Oryctolagus cuniculus: one gene and its partners. The protein of the gene in region 2 binds, or shares a complex with, the protein of the main gene of each other region. Links are inferred from orthologs where the notes say so. Each region holds a gene or a part of one and is shown on either strand. Other genes may lie near its edges.

Region 1 (7,730 bases), on a different chromosome or scaffold from region 2:
CTCCCAGGGCCCTGCTGCTCTGCCTCTGGGCTCCCTCCAAGAACGACAAATTCCTTTAAAAAATGCTTTTCCGGCTAAAACCTTTGAGTCCAGAGCGAGGGCCCGGAGTCGGTTTTCAGTCGAGTCCTCATTTTTTTCTTCTCATTCACGGTTTTTTCTTCTTGGAGGAAGAAGGGAGTAGAGACGTAAAAATGGAAAAAGAATGGCCCAAAAATCAGTGCGAGATGTGCCCACGGCCACCACTGGTGAGGACAGCCCTTCCGAGGGAGGGCAGACTTCAGGAGGGGCCAGGCTGGGGGCGGCACAGCCCGGGAGGGGGCAGGCGGCCATCAGCTCCCCTCAGCAGCCCGAGGCCAAACACGCGGGCAGGGACCAGGCTGCGCCAGGCTCTCGGCGGCTGAGCCTGGCAGCTGTTGGCTCCGGCACGGGGCTCAGAGGGGCTGGGAGACGGTGGACACAGGGGTCTGGACAGACAGGCTCATGGTGTGCGTGACTGCTGTGAGGCCGAACCTTCCAAAGCAGCAGACCCCGGCTGTCCACTCCCCCGGGGCTCCTGGAGGAAGGGCCCCCGTACCCGTGGGCCACGGGCTCTGCTCCCGCGCATGGCCTGCAGGCCAGCCCCCCTCAGTAGTCAGGCACCCAGCAAGGCACTGGCGAGCTCACAGCCGCAGGAAGCCCAGGTTCATGTCCTCGTCCTCGTCCTCCTCACTGTGCGCCGACCGGTTCTTCCGCTTCACCTGCGGCCGGGGAACGCTGCCCTCCGGGGGGCTCGGGGGCCGACACTGTAAACATGACTTCCTGGCCTGATGGTGGCAAGGCTGTGTGTGCGGGCTGCTGCCCGGGGACGGCACTGAGGTAGATGGGGGCGCGGCCCCCGAGCTGGTGGGGCTCGCGCTGCTGACGGAGGAGTACCCTGAGGTCGTGATGTCCTTGCCCGGCGCGGTCCTGCTGCGGGCGTGGGGCTCGGGCCCTGCGGAGGGAGCTGCCAGGGTGCCCGGCGCCCGGCGCCCCGTGGCCTCTGGAGAGGCCTCCTCATCACTCGACGCCTGGCAGCAGTGCTGCTCTGGGTCCAGGCAGACCACGGTGACGTCCAGGATGCCACTGGGAGCCGTCACTGTGGGAAATGTCGGGGCAGGAGAGGTCACACCACAGCTGGGGCGTGGGGTGGGGGCAGGTCCCGGCTCTCAGCCAGCAGGCGGACCCCATGCCAAATGCGCTGCCCCACCTGTGTCAGCCCCTGCACCGCTCGCCTCTGCGTAACGTGGACAAGCTGCCTGCCGACTCTGGGCAGTGGCGGGTGACAACAAATGGCCACCTCACCTAACCACTGGTGGACACAAAACTGAAAATCCACAGGAACTCACCTGCCGGGAGGTAGAGCCCACGGCACAGCAGGGCTCATGTACACAAGCACACATCTCAGAAACATTCTAGAAAGATTTTACTGGGTACAGCAGGTTAAGCTGCCGCCCGTGACGTGGCATCCCACGTGAGCGCCAGTTTGTGTCCCAGCTGCTCCACTTCCGACTCAGCTCAGTGCTAACACACCTGGGAAAGCAGCGGAAGATGGCCCAAGGACTGGGCCCCCGCACCCACGTGGGAGACCTGGATGGAGCTCAGGCTCCTGGCTTTGGCTTGGCCCTTGCGGGAATTTGGGGTGAACGAGCAGATGGAAGATATCTGTCACCCCTGTGACTTCCAAGTGTGTCTTTAATTTAAAGGATCTTATGAACTCCAGGCAGGGAGTTCTGTCCCCACCCCGGAGAGGGTCTACCGATATGCCTGCCTGTAGCATATATGTAGACACTGGCCGTCCTAAGGCCTCCCTCTCCCTACTGCCGCCACCCCGCACTGGTGTTCAGGGGCTCTGCCCTCATGCCTCCCTGTGTCTGGCCCCAGCCTGGCCCCAGGCTCAGCCCTCTGCACACCCCCTCCCCGGTGACACTCACCGTCGCCCTCCTTCTCGCCCTCGCTCTCCTGGTCACCCTCGTAGCCAGAACAGCAGTCCAGGCTCCAGTCCAGGAAGCTGCCCAGCAGTGTCTCCTCCTGGCTGGACAGCTCTGCAGTGGGGGTGGTGACAAAGCTGCCCCTGTCCTCCTGCAGGCTGTTCTCACGCTTCCTGTAGCGGGGGACAGCCCAGGAGGCCTGGTCAGAGGCGGCAGTGTCGGGGGCCCACCCAGTCCTCCGCACCTGCACACCCTGGGCTCATGGCCATGTGCTCCCGAGAGGTTTGTGGGTAGAATGGGTGGAAGGCCTCGAGGGCAGGGGCTCGGCTGGGGGAAGGGCGATTTGGAGAAAACCGAGCCTGGGGCAGGGTGTGAACCTGGCCCACTGTGCTGCAGGACCCCACAAAACCACTCGGCCCCTCTGGAAGCTGGGAGGACGATGGCACTGTCGGGTGCCGAGAACAGGAGCTGCAGGCCAGCCACGCTTGGCAAAGGCGGCACCAGGTCTCCCTGGGAACGGACAGGAGGAGAGCAGGCAGACACAGGCGCACATGGGCAGCCCAGGAACCCCCTCCCGGAGTGCATGCGTGAGTACGTGTGAGTGCGTGCACATGTGTGCGTGTGTGCTGGGGGTCTCAGCCTGCGTGTAGTCAGCTTGGGAGGGGCCCAGTGCAGGGAGGCCTCCCATGCTTCCCAGGGAGGAAGGGGGAGCAGCACGCGGGCGTCTGCTGCCAGGGCCCGTGCCCCAGAAACCAGCTGTGGAGGTGGCCTTGCACGGCCCTGTGTGTGACAAGGGTGACAAACCACCCAGGGCCTGCCCACAGCAGCTCACGGGTGCGTGCGGGGAGTCAGAGGCCCTGCTCACGTGGGCTTTGCAGGATCAGTGGGAGTTCTTCAGGGCGGACAGGATGGGGGGGCTTATCCCAGGAGGCACAGCAGGGACACGGAGGCCGGACTGAGGGCCGCGGGGCAGTGGTGCGAGGGAAGGGGGTGGCGCAGTGCCATGGTCAGCTCAGCTTTGCCTGGCCAGCGAGAGGCAGCACAGAGAACGGGAGCCACCGGGGGAGGGCGGTCATCAGGAGGATGGCCCGACCCAGGCTGCCTGGCTTGAGCCCACAAACCCCCTCTGGGGGCCGCAGCGTGGCTGAGGGGCACAGGCCAGTCTACAGCACAGCCCCGGCCCGGAGCACTCACCGTTTGGTTCTCCTCCCAGACGGAGAGCTGAGGAAGGCGTGGATGTCTCCCGCGCTGACCAAGGACGCGGGCTCCGGGCTTTCCTGCTTCACGCCCAGGGCTGCACACAACTGGCTGTAGCTCAGCACCTGGGGGCCCGAGGCAGGGAGTGGAGAGGAGCCCACAGGCCGATGAGGCCCCCGACACCCAGGTGAGCGGGACAAGGCTCCTCCCTCTGGCCCCCGACACTCAGGTGAGCGGGAGGAGGCTCCTCCCCCTGGCCCCAGACACCCAGGTGAGCGGGAGGAGGCTCCTCCCCCTGGCCCCCAGACACCCAGGTGAGCGGGAGGAGGCTCCTCCCTGACCCCTGACACCCAGGTGAGCGGGAGGAGGCTCCTCCCCCTGGTCCCAGACACCCAGGTGAGTGGGAGGAGGCTCCTCCCCCTGGCCCCCAGACACCCAGGTGAGCGGGACAAGGCTCCTCCCCCTGGCCCCCCGACACCCAGGTGAGCAGGAGGAGGCTCCTCCCTCTGGCCCCCGACACCCAGGTGAGCGGGAGGAGGCTCCTCCCTCTGGCCCCCGACACCCAGGTGAGCGGGAGGAGGCTCCTCCCCCTGGCCCCCCGACACCCAGGTGAGCAGGAGGAGGCACCTCTTCCTGGCTGATCTCCTCGTAGCGCTTGTCTTCGAATCGCTGCTTCACCGCCGTCAGGGAGACTTGCCGGTAGTCCTTGGGGGCGTCGTCGTGGAAGCTGGAAACGGGCATGGAGGCAGACTCGTGAGCTCCCCACCCTGTCTTTTTTTTTTTTTTTTTTTTTGACAGGCAGAGTGGACAGTGAGAGAGACAGAGAAAGGTCTTCCTTTGCCGTTGGTTCACCCTCCAATGGCCACCACGGCTGGCGCGCTGCGGCTGGCGCACCGTGCTGATCCGAAGGCAGGAGCCAGGTGCTTCTCCTGGTCTCCCATGGGGTGCAGGGCCCAAGCACTTGGGCCATCCTCCACTGCACTCCCTGGCCACAGCAGAGAGCTGTCCTAGAAGAGGGGCAACTGGGACAGAATCCGGCGCCCCGACTGGGACTAGAACCCAGTGTGCCAGCGCCGCAAGGCGGAGGATTAGCCTATTGAGCTGCGGCGCTGGCCCCCACCCTGTCTTTAGCCTCAACTCACTGACGTGGAGGGGACAACACTTTCAGAGCCATCCCAGCCATAACAGGACATGCTGGGGAATAGTCTGGCGGTCCCCCCAACAACGGGCAGACGGCTCCCACGTGCCCAGCGTCCCCCCAGCAACGGGCAAATGGCTCCCACGTGCCCAGCGTCCCCCCAACAACGGGCAGACGGCCTCCACGTGCCCAGTGGTCTCTCCCACTCTCGAGTGCAGTGGATGGATGGGTGGGTCACCGAAGGCAATGTGGCCACACACCGGGATGTTATCCAGTCACATGCCACAACACGGATGAAGCAACGCATGATGGCAAGAGAAAGCAGTCAGACACAGGCCACGGACGGGGACTCCTTGGTATGGAACGCCGGCATAGGCAGATCCAGCGGCAGGAAGATTGATTACCAAGGGCCAAGGAAGCCGGAGTGAACCAAGCCTGGGGTTTCTTTCTGGGGGGTTGGGGTGGGGGTGCATGTGTGTATGTATGTGTATGTGTGTGTGTGTGTGTGTGTGTGTGTGTGTGAGAGAAAATGTACTAAAATTCACTGGTGGTGGTTACAGGACTCTGTATCTTAAAAGCTTACTATTAGACACTTTTTAAAAGTACGGTTCCTGAATAAAACCTTCCAGTTTCTCTTTGAACGCTGCCATGCAACGCTTTTGGTGTCCACTTGTTCCGGGGGTGAGCGGGGTGGGGGGGACAGACACGCTGCCCCTTGATCCTCACCCCCTTCCTCATCTGCCCGCTACAGAGGAGCCTGGCAGTTCAGGAGAAAAGAGCGGGAAAAGCCCAAGGCAGTGGGTCCCCCGACCGGATGGACCAAAGAGGGGGCTGGCTGCAGGGTGCTGCCATCCTGGAAGCCGGAGACAAGGCTCCGGTCAGCACAAGGGCAAGGGAGGTGCCCACAGGTGGCCAGGCGGCCACCCACGCCCAAGGCCCTGATCCCTCTGTGGGAGTGTGAACTTCCGTGTGTCAGGAAGTTCACCAGACCCAAGAGCTGCCTGGCTCCAGGGGTGACAGAGGCAGACATTCTGCGGTCACCAAATGCAGCCCACAGGCGGAGCCAGCGAGCGAGCGGGCGTCTGCTCAGACACCGGGGACGGGCCGGAGGGAGGCTCAGTGGGACAGTCTGGGGCAGCAGGGCAGAGGCAGCACCAGGCCACGGACCCCAGGGTGGTGAGGGGGACCCCAGAGGGAGGGGCACTAAGCAGCAGGAGGAGCAGAGAGGCTGAGAGGAAGGCGAGGGAAATGGCCGCAGCCGGAACCAACTCAGCACCAGGCAGTCCCTGCCCCGGCCCCTGCTGTTCCCAGCTCACTGCTCCACTAACGGCCCCGGCCCCGGCCCCGGCCCTGGCCCCGGCCGGTCCGCACTCAGGCTAGGAACAGCTGTGCCCTCTGCCTGTGGCCCGATGCTCTCGTACCCTGCCCCAGCTGTTGTGGGCAGGGGAGGCTGGCACCCGCCGTGGCATCCGAGGCTCCCCCTGCCCTGGCGTCTGGCGGGAGGGTTTGTGTAGACTCACCACTTCTTATGAAGGCTCAGGACGCAGGGCATGAGGTCTTCGTAGGAGAACCCAGTGAAGTCCCACAGCCGAGTGGGCCAAGGCTGTGCTGGGGAGGGAGGGAGGGAAGCAGGCTGGAAACGAGGGCCGGCATGATGGCCGCCTGACCACTGCCACCCCACAGCTCTGACAGCTCCGTCCCACACTCCCGGAAAGCTGCAGTCCCTTGAAGTGGCTCTGGGGCCTCTGCCCCCCCGGCGACGCCTGCGGTCCGCTCTGGTGTCTCCCCTCCCCTCGGAGCACTCACCCTGCCCATGTACCAGTCTGGCCAGCAGCAGGGCCGCGGCGGCCAGGTGGGCCGGGGCGTAGGCGGACAGGCTGGTGTGCAGCAGCGACAGCTCGCACAGGAAGCTGCACAGGTGCTGGGTCCTGGGCGCCATGGGCACCAGCGTCAGCAGGACCTCTTTGTAGTCGACCACCGTGGGGATCTGCAGAGGCGGGTAGTGGGCATGAGGGCTCCGTGTTGGAGGGTCCCTCCCTCTCACGCTATGGGGGGTCTAGGGTTGGCCCAACGACGTTCACACCGCTCCGGGCGTGGCAGAGCAGCTGCCGCCTCTGGGTCCCCGAGGACTCGTGGAGCAAGGGATGCTGGGTCCCCCGCCCCTCCCGCAGCCTCAGACCCAGTAACGTGGATTTCAAAGGACACGGCGCCGGCACTCACTCGAATCTTCCCCTCCAGGGTGGAGACGATCTCCCCCATCATCCGCACCAGGTCCTCGTACTTGTAGGTGTTGTCCGTGAGCCACACGGCCTCCCGGATCGTCAGGATCTCCTTGCTGACGAACCTGCAGCGCACAGGTGGGGGCTCAGCCCTCAGCCTACTTTTTGGGGCAGGGGCGAGGCCTGGGGCCTTTGGACGCCTCCAGGTCAGCGGGGAGGGTTGGCTTTAGCGGCAGGAGGAGGTTACACCGGACTTGTTGCCTGTGGCCAGCGGGGGGGTGGGGGGAATCTAAAGGGAGACGGTGCTGGAACGAGCATTAGAGCCACCAGGCACAGGCAGAGGTGGTCAGTGCGGCCATTGGGCCCTCTGCCCCCAACAACCCTGGGGACAAGGGCTGGCCCCGCCGTGTGACAGCGACTATCAAGCGATTTAAGCCCTGGAGGTGGAGCACTCTTGGGACCAGGACTTGGAAGAGGGCTGAAGAAGTGCCCGGCCGGGTGCCCGAGGCAGCAGACACCCTGTTCTCTACCAGCTCCCCGCATCGGCCATCAGGGAGCACGCTGCCCCCAGGGCCCGGAGGACTCCTTCCCCAGCCGGGGCAGGCCGTGTCCCGAACTCTGCAGTCTGCACGTTCGTCATGGGTTGGCAGAGGATGGGAGGGGCTGGTGTGTAGGGACAGGCCTACACGCGGGCAGAGGCAGCCGCTGCGGAGAGGGAAGGCGGGGCATCCCGGCCCTAAAGACATTTCTAAGCAGTTAGTTTCCCACTGGGAGTCGGCCGGCGGCCCGGTCACGTGGTCTTGGGCCATCAGACACAGGACTGTGGAGGCTGCACCTGTCCAGCTGCAGGTGGTGGGCACACCCACGGCTGGGTCCATTCACAAGCTCACCGGGGAGTGCTCTGCTCACTGACCTGGAACCCGCGTCCCCCCCACCGGATGTGCTGCTGCTTTGAGCAGCTAGACTACACGTCCCCTGTGACCCAGCTTAGGGGTGAAGCAGAGACACCTGTAGGTGTCACAGGGCCGGGGGGGCTCCTGCGGTAGGACAGGGCCAGACCACAAGCCATGACCTCATGAAACGGAAGCCCAACCCCGTGAGCCTAGCCGGGACCTCTGCGTCTGGGCAGACGGCGGCTCAGAGGCAGGCAGGTTTGAGCGGTGTCACCCCAGCACTGAGACGCCGTGAGGCGGTTCTCCGTTCGGACTCCGAGAACACGGGCAGGTGGTG
Region 2 (8,173 bases):
CATGCCAGGCAGACCCCCAAGGCCTGGCTCAGACCCAGACCTGACCAGCCAGCCTTCAGTCTGCCACAGAGTTTGTCCACACCCTCACCCTGGGCCTGGTCAGAGGGCCTGCCAACCCCAAGCTCCATGGGTACCTTTCCCCGGGTGGCGGCCTCTGCCCCGGACGGGCACACTGCTTTCAGCCAGGTATTGATGGTCAGTTTCCAGGTCCAGTCTCCGCTTCACCTGCAGCAAAAACAATGGGAGGATGCCCAGTAACCAGGAGGGAGGCCAAGGAGACCTGGCTGGGAGCTTGGTGCCCGTCTTGGCTTTACCTAGATGCCCAACTGTGAGTACAGGAGATCCCAGGGGACACAGGCTGGGGGTGGGTCGATTACAATCCTGCCACAGGACAGACACAAAAAGGCAGAAGACCGGAGTTCAAGTCCCAGCTCCACCATTTTACAGCCAGGGCCCACATTTCGGCTGCAACCTCGAGACACCCTGAGGCAGAAGTGTCCGGCTAAGCGTGCTGCACTCCTGACCCACAGGAGCCGTGTGATGCACGATCCTCGCTCTAAGTCACTGAGCACAGTCCCTCGGGTAAGCCACCTGTCTCGGGCCTCTGAGGACTGAACCGTGGCAGCAGCTGGTGCTCGCAAGCACGTGGCGTACATTAGCCCTGTCCAGCCTGCGGACGGTCAGTACAAAAGCCCCATTTGACAGATAAGACAACTGAAGCTCAAGGATGTCCAAGGTCATCCAGCTAGGAAGTGGCAGAGCTGGGACTTCGACTCTGCACCTCCATGCCCTCTGGCTCAGTACAGACGCTCGAGGGTGGTGACTGTCCCCACTGTGCCAGACAACTCAAATGTGCCCTGACCAAGACCAGACCTCACTCTCCACCAGCCTCTGACCTGGGACCTCAATCCCTGCCTGCTTCCTTCCTCACATCCAGGTGCCCGGAACACACACCGCAGCCACTCCCTGGCTGGTTCACGTCCACGCTCACGCTGGCGTCCTTTCTCCGCCTGCCATCATGTCCTATCACGTCACTGCCCTGCTCGAGAGCTTCGCCTGGGGCCAGCGCTGTGACACAGTGGGTTAAAGCCCTGGCCTGCAGCGCCAGCATCCCATGCACCGGTTTGAGACCCAGCTGCCCCACTTCCAATCCAGCTCTCTGCCAGGCCTGGGAAAGCAGAAGATGGCCCAAGTCTTTGGGCCCCTGGATCTGCTTGGGAGACCCAGAAGCAGCTCCTGGCTCTTGGCTCTGAATCAGCTCAGCTCTGGCCATTGCAGTCATTTGGAGAGTGAACCAGTGGATGGAAGACCGCTGTTTCTCTGTAACTTTCAAAAAGCTAAAATAAATCTTTTTTTTTTGTTTTTTTTGACAGGCAGAGTGGACAGTGAGAGAGAGAGAGAGAGAGAGAAAGGTCTTCCTTTGCCATTGGTTCACCCTCCAATGGCCGCCGCGGCCAGCGCACCACGCTGATCCGAAGGCAGGAGCCAGGTGTTTCTCCTGGTCTCCCATGGGGTGCAGGGCCCAAGCACTTGGGCCATCCTCCACTGCACTCCCTGGCCACAGCAGAGAGCTGGCCTGGAAGAGGGGCAACCGGGACAGAATCCGGCGCCCCGACCAGGACTAGAACCCGGTGCGCTGGCACCAAAGGCGGAGGATTAGCCTAGTGAGCCGCGGCGCCGGCCCCAAAATAAATCTTAAAACAAAAACCTCTCCTGATGCTCGTCTGCCAAATCCTCTCCACACGACCTTCTGTGGAGCCTCGCTCGTGACACGTCTGTACCTCCAAGCCACAGCCCCGGCTGCCCCTGCCCCCACACCTGCTGCTTCCACCTCTGGTGGGCACTGGGCTTCACCAAGTGGCTGCTGAATGAACCCCTGAACCTCCTCACAGGCTGGCCATTTTCTATGATAAACATGTATTAAAGTGGAAAACGTGGACTTTTCAATGGCCATTGACAATGGGGTGTGGCTAGAGGGGCAGAGTCAAGGGGAACAGCTGAACTGTATACAACCTTGTATACAGCAGGTGCTCAGTGAATGGTCACTGGTAAAGAAGCAAAGTCTGTAGTTTATTTCAAGGACAATTCCCAAAAAAATATCAGTACAGCAAGTGGAGGACAAATGCTGGGCCTTTCTGAGCCAGTCCCCTTCCCCACACACCCACACCCAAAAACACCTCCTGGCACTAAGGCCTGGGTGGGCAGAACTCCATAGTGGCCCATGCCAGCACCTCCTGGGCACTTACTCCTGGGCACTTACTAACTCAGCACGCTCGGGCTCCTGACGCCCTGGGGGCAGAGCGGAGGGCGTTTCTCCCTATGCCACGCCTCCCCTCTGAGCCCTGAGCCCACAGCCCTCACCTGGAACTCCGCTCCCCCAGCTCAGCACCCACCGGCTGTTAGGTCTCTTCAGTACTGGGCCTGCTAAGCACTTGTCACCTGCCCAGCTTCCAAGCTGGCCCCTGGGGGACAGGAGACAGGCCAGGTGACCCACCCCTGGGACACCCTTCCCCCCCCCTCCCCGCTCTCAGGAGGAGGGTCCCCAAGACCTTCCAGGGCTTTCTTCACCCTCCATCAGCTTGGTAGATCCACTGCCCCGCCACTCACCAAGCGGAGTGGGGAAGGTCCTAACACCTCGAGGCCTCAGCCTCCCACCTGTGCAGGGAAGGCTGCTGACAGGGTTAAATGAGTTAATTGGGTAAAGTGCTTGGCACAGAGCCTGGCATACAAAACATCCTCAAAACAATGGCGGCCACTATTGTTATTATTATTAGCATCTTGGTGATTCCGGAAGGAAGGCAGCACTGGGCACAGTGCCAATGGGGTTGAGGGGCCCTCGCAGGACGCCTCGGGGACCAGCTGCCACCCACACTTCCATCAGCAGTAGAGCAGCTTCGAACTCCTAGTCCTGGCCCCTCCCACTGCTCCAAGCCCCCTGCTGAGACCCCATCCAGCCCGGCCAGCCCCTGCCTGCCTGCCCGCCCGCCCCACCTTCACCCACACCCTGTGCCCGTCAAACTGGTCCCCACACCCTGTCCCGCGGCCCACAGGTCCGGGCTCCAGACCTCCACTCCCTTCTCCCACCGGAACTCAGCCTCTCTGGGCTCCCCTACAAGAGCCAGTCCCGAGCACCGCGCTGCTCGCTCATCGGGGAGGACTTTCCAAGGGACCTCCCTGGTTGGCGTCCTTTCTCCTGGCAGCCAGCTCCCAGAGGCCCAGCCCACCCAGCCCTTCCACAGAGGCTCGGGGTCTGCCTGCCTGATTAATGAGGCTCCATGGCAACCAGGGTCTGGGAGGGTGGAGGGTGGCAGATGGAGGGGATCAGCAGCTGGCCCGGCCACCCCGCCCCTGCGGAGAAGGCCTCCCAGCCGGGAGCCTGTCCCCAGAGGCCTGCAGGGCCAGACTGCACCTGGCGGTCAAGCACGGGGCCGGAAGGAGGGTCTCCTCCATGCTGCCCCCTCCAAGGGTCAAGCCCCAGGAGTGTCCCCAGCCCGCCTCGCCTCCCTAGGCAGCCTTGCCCACTGCCCCGCCCCTAATTCTGGTCTCAAGCCGGCAGGCCTCAAACCCCAGCCCGACCACCTGCAGCCCTGAGACCAGGGGCGAGTCACTTTCCCTCTCCGGGCTCCCCCAGACGGCCATGGTGACAACTCCGAGCTCACGGCGGGGTTGTGAGTTTTATTTAGCTGGCGAGAAATCTGCCACAGGCTGGCACACAGTAAGCGCCAACTGAATACACGTGGGCTATTATCGCTCAGGCCCACAGCCCTGAGGAGCCAACAGGGACCCGCCCGAGGTCACCACGCACCCCGGGGCGGGGCCCGGAGGCCCAACCCAGGCTCTGGACCGCCCAGCCCGGGCGCCTCAGTCCACCCCTCCCCCGCCCCCGCCGCCTGCGAGCCAAACACCGCACCCGCCCGGGTGCGCGCGGGGCCGTCAGGCAGGCTTTCGGCCCGGCGTCTCCGGAGTCCGTACCGGCGGGCGGCCGAGCGCCGGACGCGGCGCGCTGGGTGTGGGTCGGGGCGCCTGCGGCGTGGCGAAGAGCAGCAGGTCGGGGTCGTGAGAGCCCGCGGCGGGGCCGGCGGGGGCCGGCGGGGCGCTGGCGTCCTGCGCCGCGGAGATGATGACGATCTGCGAGGAGTCCAGCAGCCGCAGCGCGCCGGCCCCGAGCAGGGCCTCCAGCGCCGGCGCGCACGGGCCGCCCGCGGGGGCCACGGCCATGGCGCTCACGGCCCGCGTGGCCCAGGTGGCAGGCGGCGGCGGCGGCGCGGGCCCATGGCGACAGGCCCCGGCGAGGGCTTGATCCCGCTCCGCCCCCGGCCGCCGCTGCCTGCAAAGTCCCGGCCACTTTTACGCGCCAAATCCTTTTTGCCGCGAAAGAGCCACGAGCCGCCGAGAGCCGCCACCATTGGCTGTCCGCGCTGTGACGGAAGCGGCGGCGGCGGCGCCCATTGGCTGCATCGAGCACGGCCGGCGGCGGAGGGCGGGACGGGGCGGCGGCGCGGAGTGGCGCGGCCAATCGCAGGGCGGGGCTCGCGCAGGCTTTGTCGGGGCGGTGCCCAGCGAGCTCGCACTCCCCACCCCCAGCACGGGCGTCCGCGCCGGAGGCGTGCGGACTGGGACCCCGCCCCGCCCTGACACACCCCGTTCTGCTGATTCCTCTTTCCTGAGGCTTAGGCCGCGGGGCCTCGGTCCTGCGCGTTTTCCGGTCAGCACAGCCCTGGTGACCCGCCCCCAGACCCTCAAGCTAGGGCCCCTCCACCCTCAGCCCAGGTCTGCAGACACCGCCGCCGCCTCCTCTGTGCACCCTCCAGAGATGCAGCCCCATCTCCTGTCCTCGGCGGCCCCCACCTAGGCCATTGCCTCAAACTCCTCGCCGAGCCCCAGCCGAGGGGGCTACCAGGAAGTGCGGGGGGCCTCAGTTCTGTTGCCGCGCGGCTGCGGCTTGCGCTGCCTCTGTGGTCCCCTCCTTAGTGGCGGCCCTGGCTGGGGCCGTAAGGGGCGGCGGCGGACAGAGAGGTAGCAGCTGTTTATAGCATGAGGAGGTTTCGGCCATGAGAGACCTCACAAAGGGAAGAGGCGAGGCTGCCGGGCGTGGGAAAACATCTAATCCCGAGGCCCTGAGACACCTCCATCAGCACCTCCCACTGCTCAGCTCGGCCGATTTGGCCTTGTGTCTGCACTGGGGACAGAGATGTGAAAGACGTCCTAACTGTCGAGTTTGCCTGCTGCCTGGTGAGCGTGGCCCACAAGCAAAAAGTAGCTAGGACACAAACAAGAGTCAAATACCACTTCTTCCAGGGAGCCCTCCGGAGTCAGTTACTCACTTCTTCCACTGCCGGCTGCGGCCTCTGTTCCTGCAGTTGCCTCCTCTCCCCGCCTGGGAGCTGCAGTGATTGCTACTCCCAGCTCGGACTGGTCCACGAGCCGGCGCTGGGAGAGGTTCTGAAAGGACAGGGGCCACCAGCGTTCTCGGAGTCGACCTTGTGCCCCGGCTTCAGAAGCACCCCGGCCTCCCTGGCCCTGCCAGTTTAGAGTCTCTGAATAGCCAGGGGTTTATATTTTACCAAGTACCCTCCCCCACCCCAACACACACCCTCATGCCAGGGGCGCTCACAGGTGTGTGCTCACTGGTGAGAACAACTTGGTTTAACCAAAATGCGTGGTGCCGCCTCAAAGCACAGCTCCTGGGGATGCTTCTGGGCCTTGGTTTCTTCGTCTGGGAACTGGGCCCGCAGACCCTGCCCTGGCCCCTTCCAGGGTTGCCACGAGCCGGAGGGAATACGGGTTTGCACATGTTTTGTAATAAAGTGGTGTTTGGGAAAGGGGCAGGCATTTCTCCTCCCTCTGATAAGCGGTTGGTGAAATGCTATTGCAGATCCTGCAATGTGTCCGTACTCGAAGAGGCCGCACGTTCAGGGGGAGGTGGTGGTGCAGCCAGTCAGCGATAGACTGGCCTCCGCCGGGTTCCTGGCGTGGCATCCGCCTGTCCCCTGTGCTGCCATCCCCAGGGTCCCCCATGCAGAAGCTCAGCGCTAGATCTCATTCGAAATCGCCAAGCCAGGCACGGACAGCACAGGCAGCTGGCACATTCCCACTTCCGGTGGACAGTTTCCTTGCTCCACACCTTCCCAAAGGGTCCCAATGATCAAGACTCTTTTTTTTAAAAGATTAATTTATTTGAGTAAGAGATCTTCCATCCACTGCGTCACCCGCCATGTGCTTGCAACAGTCAGGGCTGGACCAGGCTGAACCCAGGAGTCAGGAACTCCACCCAGGTGTCCTTCATGAGTGGAAGGAGTCAAGTACTTGAGCCATCCCCCGCTGCCTTCCAGGTGCATGAGCAAGAAGCGGGATTGGAAGCAGAGTGGCTGATTCTTGACCCAAGCACTCCAGTGTGGGATGCAGGCATCCAGAGTGTGGCTTACACTGCGGTGCCGCCATGCCTGCCCCAGGCATAACCCTTCTGGGAAAACCCTCTCATACCCAATAGTCGTTCAACAAATACTGAGTACCTGCTACAGGTAAGCAGCATGCTAATTGCTGGAGAGGGAAGAGCTATTTTTCTTCTTATTTTAGGATGAGGAAATCACGATCTTACCAATTAGATAAAAAGGTTTGGTAAGGCCAAGGCCAATGGTTTTCCAAGTGCCTGCCTTCCCCAACGTATTCAACTACATACCTGAGGGAGAAATAAATGCCTTCCTTCCCACAATCCCTTGTGTCCTACTGCAGCAAAAAGGAGTGAAGCCCGTAATTCCCAGCATGAAGCCAAGGAGGAGATAAGAGCTCTCTGGATCTATTAATGCCCACTTAAAAGCAGACAAGCCTGATGGATGGGGTCCCTCGGCCCTGAGCCTGGCAGATCCCGATAAGGCCGTTCTCAATGTCAACAGTCCTCCTTAGGCTGACAGGCTTCCGAAACACTCACAGTCACCAGGCAGCCACTTCCACCCTCTCCTTTCAACCCGATAATCCTGCGAGTGAAGCTTGTTTATCCACGTGATACAGGAAGGGGGAGACTCAGAGAGGGGCGCTCAGGACTCAAGGTCACACAGCAGAACTGAGATGGGCACTCAGCCTGCTCTACTGCAGAAGCCGGGGCCTGCCCTCCATACTTGCCATCCAAGAGCCGGGCTCAGGGCTGTTGTGACGATAGAGTGCGGCTTCCAAAAGATCTGATGATGGAGTCCGGCTTAGTGACAGGTGTTCACAGTTGTCAGCACCTCCGCCAACCCCCTCCTCTGGGAGTGCAAGGGGCTGGAAGCTCCTGGGCCCATGATCCCCTGCCTGGAAACAGCCTTTCCCTGGTTCCTTCCAAGAGGCAGCGCAGTGGAACACAGGCTGCTAAGTCACGTGGGTACACAGGAATCCTGGCACGGAGATTCGCTCCTCTGAGCCTCACTCCTTCAATCCAGATACTTACTGAGCACCTAGGATGTGTCTGACTGTGTGCTGGGTGCATGGGAGACAGTTATAAGCAGCTCACAGTCCAGTGGGAAAGTACAGAATGACGTCTATATACCTACACAATATGCTTGTTAAGAAGTCTGACAAATGGGGCGGCGCCGTGGCTCACTTGGTTAATCCTCCGCCTGCGGCGCCGGCATTCCATATGGGTGCTGGGTTCTAGTCCCAGTTGCTCCTCTTCCAGTCCAGCTCTCTGCTGTGGTCCAGGAGGGCAGTGGAGGATGGTGCAAGTGCTTGGGCCCCTGCACTCCCATGGGAGACCAGGAGGAAGCACCTGGCTCCTGGCTTTTGATCAGCACGGCGCCAGCCGTAGCGGCCATTTGGGGAGTGAACCAACGGAAGGAAGACCTTTCTCTCTCTCTCTCTCTCACTGTCTGTAACTCTACCTGTCAAATAAATAAATAAATAAATAATTTAAAATAAATAAAAATAAAAAAAGAAGTCTGATAAGCGATACAAGTCACTGAAAGCCATTTATTCCGCATACAGCATCTTCCCTAACCATACACTCTTAGCTTCTAAAACAAATCTCCAAACATGAGTATCTCTTCATTATAAGAAATGCATAATTGAGAGAAATTATTCTGTGCTGACTTGATTTTATTAAGGGGCACAGAGACATGCATTGTTCAGTGCTGGCAGAGGGAGGCGGGGAGTTTTGCATCTACAACTCCTCGTTCCTCTCGAATGAGCCCTCGACGCTACA
Region 3 (7,730 bases), on a different chromosome or scaffold from region 2:
TGTCCTTGCCATTTTCTCTACCTTGTCTGCCTGGCTCTCCTACTTACCCCCAGATTAGTTTACATATTTGGCTTTGCACTCACCTTCTTTCCAAGGTAGCCATTACTGTTCCACTGCTCACTACATCTCACCCTTATTTTCTTACATAGCATCTACTGCAATCTAGAATTATCTGGTTATTGCTCCCAACCCATGATAAGATTTTTAAGGGCAGAGATTTACCCATTTGGTTTATTATTGCCAATGCCTACAACAGAATGAGTGAACACTTGATAAACATCACTGAAGCAGTATACAGATTCTAATTATATTGATTTTTATTAGCTTATTGCTTCATATACTACAAATTGTAGCCATTTATTATCAGTTTATTATATATAAACTGAGTTTTAACTGTATTTCTGACAGGAAAAAAAGACATTGAGATTAAAGGAGCATAAAGACAGAATGACCCATCACTGGGCTAAATCTTATTTAGGACAGGAATAAAGAAAACCATACATAGCAATCCTTGTGGACTACTGGGAGGTGGGACACAGTCCAGAAAAAAATACATTACAAAATAAAAGAATAATAAAAAGGCCACAGAATCGAAAGTAGAAAGTTGAGTGAGGGGCCAGTGCTGTGGCGTAGCAGGTAAAGCCACCACCTGCAGTGCCGGCATCCCATATGGGCTCCAGTTCAAGTCCCGCTGTTCCACTTCCGATCCAGCTCTTGGCTAATGGCCTGGGAGAGCAGTGGAAAATGGCCCAAGTCCGTTCAGTTCGGTCCAGCTCCTGCCATTGTGGCCATTTGGGGAGTGAACCAGAGGATGGAAGACTTTCTCTCTCTCTACCTTTGCCTCTCTGTAACTCTGCCTTTTAAGTAAATAAATAAATCTTTAAAAAAAAAAGTTGAATTGATGGCTCCATCGATAAATTCGACCTAGCATCTTGCTGAGTGACTTCATAGGGCTCTCTCAAGGAGGAAGGGTAACAATGGGCTTGTTTTTATGCTGTTTGCAGTACAAAGGTGCCATCAATCAGAGCTAATGAACTGCTCCATTGTTTAGGCCTCAACCACTGCTAAACACATCTGTAAGAACACGCACTGCTTCCCTTCCCGCTGATGAACGCCAAGACCAGTGGGAGTTGGAAAGAGGACTCCATTAGAGAAAAGAACACTGCACCATATATTCTACATGATACACAAGTTCCTCAGATGTGACTGGCTCTGTACAAAACAGCTAAGAACCAAGAAGCAAGCAGCAAAGGTAACCGAGGAAATAAAGCAGCAGCACAGTCCATGCAAGAAAACACAGAAGGCTGAGTCTCTATGTATAGGGATCTCAAGGTCCTCCCACAGAGCCTAATCACACTCATGTGGACTGAGTCCTAACAGCTCTGGCCACCTAGCTTCTCAGTGCACAGCAAATCAGAGATTAGAAAATGTGGAAGACAGAAAACTATTATATCAAGAGCAGATGACTTAACAGGAGGAAGTAGATTAAGCACAATCTACAAAAATGAGTTACAAAATTTCAGAAATTAAAGCAAACCCAGAAAAGAATAGCTGGAAAGGTTTTTATTAAAAATAGTGGCAATCGGGGCAGGTGTCTAAACTAGTCCTGAAGATGCCACATGGGATGCTTGTATCCCATACTGGAGTGGCTGGGTTTGAACCCCAGCTCCCTGATTCCAGCTTCCTACTAATGGGCACCCCAGGAAGCAGCAGGTCAGGGAGCTTGGTCCCTGCCACCTGCTGGGAGAGCTAGACTGACTTCCTGGTTCCTAGATTTGACTTGGTCCAGTCCCAGCTTTGGGAGGTATTTGGGGAGTGAACCATTGGGTGGGAGGTCTCTTTCTACCTTTCAAATAAATAAATAAGAATTTAAAAAATGATAATCTTAGAGAGTTCAATTGTCACTGAGAATATGAGTCTTATCTTAAAACAGTGCAGCGTTAATATGGCACCTCATATAGTGGTTTCCATGAAACGCTGAATTTGCGTTCAAATAATGACCCCAAGTTGCTTTCTCTTAGTCCTGGAGTTTCTGACTTGATGGCCATTTATATTTTATTTTACAGACCACAAGTGATTCTGAATGAGGAATTACTATTGTAATATTCTAAAGAAAGGTAATAACACACTCAAAATATTACTTAAAAGAAATAAGTAATATTTTACCAATATCTACAAGTGTTTTCAATAAAATCTACTTATTAAAAAGTCTGGGTACATTAAAGTAATGTGAATATTCACTTGGGTAAAACACTTCATCTCCCAAAGTGAGGGAGGGGCTAACCAACACACCACCAACAGCCAACCTGCTCTCCAGATGGTTTCTCCCGAAACCACCCACTGTTACCAGAGAACAGGAATACTCGATATGGAATGAAATCGTGGTAGAAGCTGAATTGCAAGTTATAGGAAAAGTATTTCATGACTTAACACAGAGTGTGGGCGCCACACAGCAGAACACGCCAGACAAAACGCTGCACCTCTACTCACCTTTCTGAAAAATCAGAGTCGATAAATTCTCTAGCCCGTTTCCTATCACTAAAAAGAAAAGACAGCATAAAAACACTTAACATATACACAACTTTATTTAACAGGGAAGTATTATAACTTGTCTATTCCTACACTGAATACATCCAAAGACAAGAATTAACAAAAATAAAAGATACGTACAAAGTTTTAATTTTACCATGGGACAAAGACATCATGACATAAAAATCATAGGTTGAAACAAGCTTGACAATTAATATTTAGGGAAGAAATCATTGCATATTTACAAGTAAGAAGAGGAAAGTTTATTCGTTCTGGAATGGCTGACAATAAAAACACTAGACAGTCCTGTCAGCCCCAATATAAAGTGGGAGCTGAAAACACACAAATCCTGGTTATCTCCAAAGTGAGCCGACACTACTGGAAAGGGCTTGGTTCTCGCGTTAGAATCCTTCAGGCCATGTAGAAATCCAAGGTTAACTTTTAGACCTACATGAGAATTTTCCATGAGAATTTTCTTAAGGATTGAGTAAGGGTCATAGGGCTACAGGTGATTCTGTCATTTCATCTTATTAAGATGCTGGAAAAGCATGTACACATATATAAGACTCTCTGTCTCTCCTATACATGTATGTGTTCATGTATACATGTATGTATGTGTGTATATAAGCATGTATATGGCCTAAAGCATTTGTTAGGATTGTTATTCCATTAATTCACTTAATATTTTTAAAGGAGATTCTAGCTCACACATGACAGAACCATCAATGCAGACCCCACTGTGTAAATAACTCCTAAATTAACAACTTCAAGGTAGAGATGAGTATTTGGCCTAGTGGTTACAACCCCGGTTAATACATCCTCATTCTACACTAGAGTACCTGGCTTTGATACCCAACTCCAGCTCTTGATTCCAGCTTTCTGCTGATGCAGGCCCTGGGAGGCAGCAGTGCTGGCTCAAGTGACTGGGTTCCTACTACCCACATGGATTAAAGATGCATTATTATCTGGATAAATATAATAATCCATAAAGATCTGGATTAAATATCGGGTCCCAATTTGGTCCAGCCTCATCTCTGCTGTTGCAGGCAATGAGCCAGTAGAAGAGAGCTTGTTCTCTGTCTCTTACATTCACTCACTCTCTGCCTTTCAAAATAAACAAACAAATAAAACAAAAAACTTCTAAAATGACAAAATTAGATTTGGAGTCATTTATCTTAAAGTGTTTCTTTTTCCATGGAAGGATGAAATGCTAAAATGAAGGAGTGAGAAATGTTGGGTAAGGATACAAAGATTTGATACTAAGAGTGGCAAATGAGTAACACTGAAGGGACATTTGTTTAACTGGCCAACATTCAAAAAGAATCAAGGGATGGGGCTGGCATTGTGGTACAGCAGGTTAAGCTGCTGCTCGTGATGCATCCCATACTTGGGTACCAGGTTAAGTCCTGGCTACTCTGCTTCTGTTCCAGTTCCCTGCTAATACTCTGGGGGAAGGCAATGGAAGATGGCTCAAGTATTTGGGCCCCTGCCACCCACATGGGACACCAGATGGAGTTCCTGACTCCTGGCTTCAGCCTGGCCCAGCCCTGGCTGTTGTGGCCATTTGGGGAGAGAACCAGTAGATGCAAGACCTTTCTCTCCCTGTCTCTCGCTCTTTGTTGCTCTACCTTTCTAAGAAATAAATACACCTAAAAAAAAAAAAAAAAAAGTGGAAAGGAAAAATCTAATGCAAAAAGATACCTGGCCTCTTTTCCCTAGTTCCTTTTCTTGCTTTTATGGAAATAAGAATTCAGAGGGGAAATCTTGAGAATATCTAATACTTAATACATAACTACTTAAAACAACATACAAGACAGTTTTTATGTCGCCAAAGCAGCTCAATACTACAGCCATAAGAAGCAGTCCTGTTTCAGAGCTGAGAAGCCAGGAGATTCAGTTACAAGTTACTGTACTGGTTACTGGTTTTCCTGTTTACAAATGGTTGCTCCAGAGACGATTTATATCTAAGATGTAAAGTGAAATAAAGTAAGTGATTCTAAAGGAAACAACATTGGTTTTTATGAACCAAACTAACATAAAAGAACAGAAGACAAGAGAAGTTAGGGAAAAAAGTTCAGAGCTCTTTTTAGAATTTTCATTTTAAGGTTTTAAAAATGGTAATTTGCAACACACTTACCTTGGGACCCAGCCAGCAGCTTCTGCTATGTGTGTCTGAGTAACCATGGCTGGTGCAGGGGTGTATGGACTCCCAATCAGAACACTTCCTGAACTGGTTAGTCTCTGTGGTGTGCTTATAATCTGCAAAGTGAGGAACAAAGAAAACACTCTTATTGATTAAAAGGAGAGTACAAGCTGAAAATCTATACATGAGGACAACACCTTGCTGCCCCACCACCTAAAGTGTAAGCAACTTGTTTGATTATATTTCTGTAATTATATCCTAGGATCTTAAGGTGTCCTTAATATCAACACGAGGTCACAAAACAGCTTTCAGCAAGTAAACAGCAACCTTGAAGGCTTCCTTTAAGTACCAATTAAGAGAGAACAACATCTATAAGGACTACATCTCCGTTACTAAAGCCTTAACACAGAAGTGACTATTCTATGCAAATGAATGCTAATTAACTCCTTTCACTGTTTAAATGAAATCTGTTTCTGAAGCCTCAGTCTAAGTCACCAAATTAATTGTTAGCTTGCTCCACACAGGAACCAAAGGCAAGGATTCTTAGGCATTTCAAGCTCTTCTTTTGCATTTGAAAGAATAACCTCTGACCTGTAACAACAGTTCAGATTTAGCTGCTAAAGGGTAGTCCACATTTGTACACTTACTATTAGGGAACTTAGCTTCTGTTTCTGTTTGGCAATACATCAGCTTGTGGCTAGGGAGATGTCAGTACAACAAATATTCAGGAATAATTTTGGTAAGTTAATTCTATAGTTAAAATAAAACCAGGGGCCAGTGTTTTGACGTAGTGGGTAAAGCAACACCTGCAACACCAGCATCTGGTATGGACTCTGGTTTGTTTCCTGGCTGCTCTACTTCTGATCCAGCTTTCTGCTAATGTACCTGGGAAAGCATCAGAGGAAGATGGCAAGTACTCAGGCTCCTGCCACCCAGGTGGGAGACCCGAATGAAGCTCCTGGCTCCTGGCCTAGCATATCCTTGGCCATTGTGGGCATCTAGGGAGTAAACCGGCAGATGGAAGATCTCTGTCTCTAACTTTTTCAAATAAGTAAGTAAATCTTACTAAAACATAATATTAAAGTAAAATTAAACCATAATAGAGTAGATGTCCAGAAAAATTGTGATTATCTACAATATGCATTCTGAAGCCTGCCTCCTGAGAAAAGATGAAACTTTTGTACCTCACCGAAGTCTGCCTTGCACCCTAGGGATGTGCAGACCTCCCAGGCCTCCCCACATCTCACGGCACCTCCCCACTCCCACCTCCCTGCAGGATCTCCACAGGCAGCAAGCAAGCACACCTCGCTAAAAACTGCATCCTTTGCTGGGTCTAGCACAGTGCAGGGGAATGGAAAGCATGATAAATATTTACTTAGCTGGGACAGTAGCCCAATTTCTAAAATTATGGGTAGGAAAAAAAGTAGCTTCCTCATTCATTGGTATGCTAAGAAAGGATTATATAAAACTCAGCCAGAAAAAAATGTATAATATAAAGTGCACAGTTCTTTCCATGCATCCCTAATTTAAATGTAATCATATGGTTTCTCTGGTAACAGATTAGTTAGGCAGAAAAGTCAGATAGTGCTGGACTTCAATCTGAAAATTTTCTGTGTTCAGTCAGCTTCCTGATGCTCTACTGCCATCTACAGTCCGAAAAGCCAAGAAAGCAGACATATTTTGAAGGGAAAAAGAATCTACATAAAGTGTTTATTAAAGGCTTCCATTACTCGACAAAATTTCGGTTTTTACTACAAGAATTTTTTTAACCTACTGAAATAAGATGGCCATGAAAATTCTCATCTATCAAATCATAAGATATGCATTTATACTGCTAGCCTCCAAGGTAAGCTGCAGGAGATGAACTGTCAGAAGGCAAACATCCCACATTAGTTTCCATAACCACAGAAAACAAATGAAACCTATCCACCACCCCCACCCCCACCCCGTCCCCACATCCAGCTTCCCAGAGAGGAGAAGGGTGAAGGGTGAAGGGCAGGTGGAGAGAGATGGCTGCTAGCAGCAGACAGCAAGGCTTCATCCAAGGGCTACCCAGATAACGAACACTTTCAAAGGCCATGGATAAGGAATTGAGGGCGAGGGGACAAAGTGCAAAGAACAGGAAGAGAACTGAGAAATGGCTCTAATTGGGTATCTCAGTCCATTTGGGTTGCAGTTAACAAAATGCCTTAGACTAGGGGATGTGCCAACAACAGAAATTTACTGCTCCCTGTTCCAGAGGCTGGGAAGTCCTAAACCAAGCCACAGACCAATTCCACGTCTGCCAAGGCTCCTGCCTGCTGCACTCCCATGTGACAGTGAGGGTGCTGGGCCTCTTTTATGAGGGCACTCGCTGCTCCCACTCAGGACAGCAAAGCGCTCACACCTCTCCACCTCCTCTGCAGACTACCACAGTGGGGGTTAAGCTTGAACAGAACGTGGGGGAACACATTCAGAGCATAGCATTCTGCCCCCAGCTCCACCCTCCTCCACAAACTCCTATGAGTCTCACACAGAAACATATTCCTTCCACTCCAACAGCTGTGGAAGTCTTAACTCCTTCCAGTATCAACTCCAAAATCCAAAGTCTCATCTCTATCAGGTATGGGTGAGATCCAAAGGGGTGATTCATCCAGAGACTAGTTCCCTGCAGTGGGAGCCTGTGAAACCAGACAAGTTACATGCTTCTGAAATACAACCCTGGGACAGGCACAGGATAGACATTCCCAGAAAAAAGGGATAATAGTTCTTAACCAAATTCATACCCAGCAAGGAAAACATGAAATCTTCAGGTCTGAGAATTAATCTTGATACATGGGACTGGGCTGTGAGTCCCCAGACTCCAGGGCTTTGTTGGGACCGGCCCAGAGTGCAGTTCTCTTCCTCCTGCCTGCGGTTCGCCCACCACTTCACTGGGCATTTCTGCTGTCAGGGCTTTCTACAGAGCCCCACCCCGTCAGCAGGTCTCTGCCAGGGCATCCTCAAACTCAGACAGGAGCAACCAAGCCCACGCTCATGCACTCTGCCAGAGGCCCCAAGCGTTTTACCACCTGTGCTG

Evidence for each region. The genes of interacting proteins can lie anywhere in the genome.
Region 1: the proteins of E2F1 (region 2) and CCNF are in contact, whole or in part, in a cryo-EM structure (PDB 9CB3), measured with the Homo sapiens proteins. The link is inferred for Oryctolagus cuniculus from reciprocal best matches to the Homo sapiens genes E2F1 and CCNF. Residues at the interface, in NP_005216.1 of Homo sapiens: Gly84, Arg85, Pro87, Val88, Lys89, Arg90, Arg91, Leu92, Asp93, Leu94, Glu95, Thr96; in NP_001752.2 of Homo sapiens: Met309, Ile312, Leu313, Asp315, Trp316, Glu319, Val320, Met323, Arg349, Leu352, Gln353, Trp379, Leu380, Thr381, Asp382, Thr384, Asp504, Tyr505, Val508, Leu510, Thr511.
Region 3: E2F1 (region 2) and TFDP2 share a complex: the UniProt entries of both Homo sapiens proteins name them as parts of the DRTF1/E2F transcription factor complex. The link is inferred for Oryctolagus cuniculus from reciprocal best matches to the Homo sapiens genes E2F1 and TFDP2.

Annotation. Positions count from the first base shown.
Region 1 is NC_091450.1:32,840,367-32,848,096, forward strand, and holds part of CCNF (cyclin-F), read right to left. Parts: intron 6,626-7,730; coding exon 6,502-6,625; intron 6,269-6,501; coding exon 6,088-6,268; intron 5,890-6,087; coding exon 5,802-5,889; intron 4,923-5,801; exon of another isoform or gene 3,942-4,922; intron 3,871-3,941; coding exon 3,771-3,870; exon of another isoform or gene 3,710-3,770; intron 3,642-3,709; exon of another isoform or gene 3,269-3,641; coding exon 3,141-3,268; intron 2,534-3,140; exon of another isoform or gene 2,343-2,533; intron 2,120-2,342; coding exon 1,950-2,119; intron 1,115-1,949; coding exon 660-1,114; 3' UTR 1-659. UniProt on the Homo sapiens protein: Substrate recognition component of a SCF (SKP1-CUL1-F-box protein) E3 ubiquitin-protein ligase complex which mediates the ubiquitination and subsequent proteasomal degradation of target proteins.
Region 2 is NC_091442.1:24,378,637-24,386,809, reverse strand, and holds the start of E2F1 (transcription factor E2F1), read right to left. Parts: upstream 4,354-8,173; 5' UTR 4,219-4,353; coding exon 3,973-4,218; intron 226-3,972; coding exon 135-225; intron 1-134. UniProt on the Homo sapiens protein: Transcription activator that binds DNA cooperatively with DP proteins through the E2 recognition site, 5'-TTTC[CG]CGC-3' found in the promoter region of a number of genes whose products are involved in cell cycle regulation or in DNA replication.
Region 3 is NC_091435.1:139,868,990-139,876,719, reverse strand, and holds part of TFDP2 (transcription factor Dp-2), read right to left. Parts: intron 4,789-7,730; coding exon 4,667-4,788; intron 2,539-4,666; coding exon 2,491-2,538; intron 1-2,490. UniProt on the Homo sapiens protein: Can stimulate E2F-dependent transcription.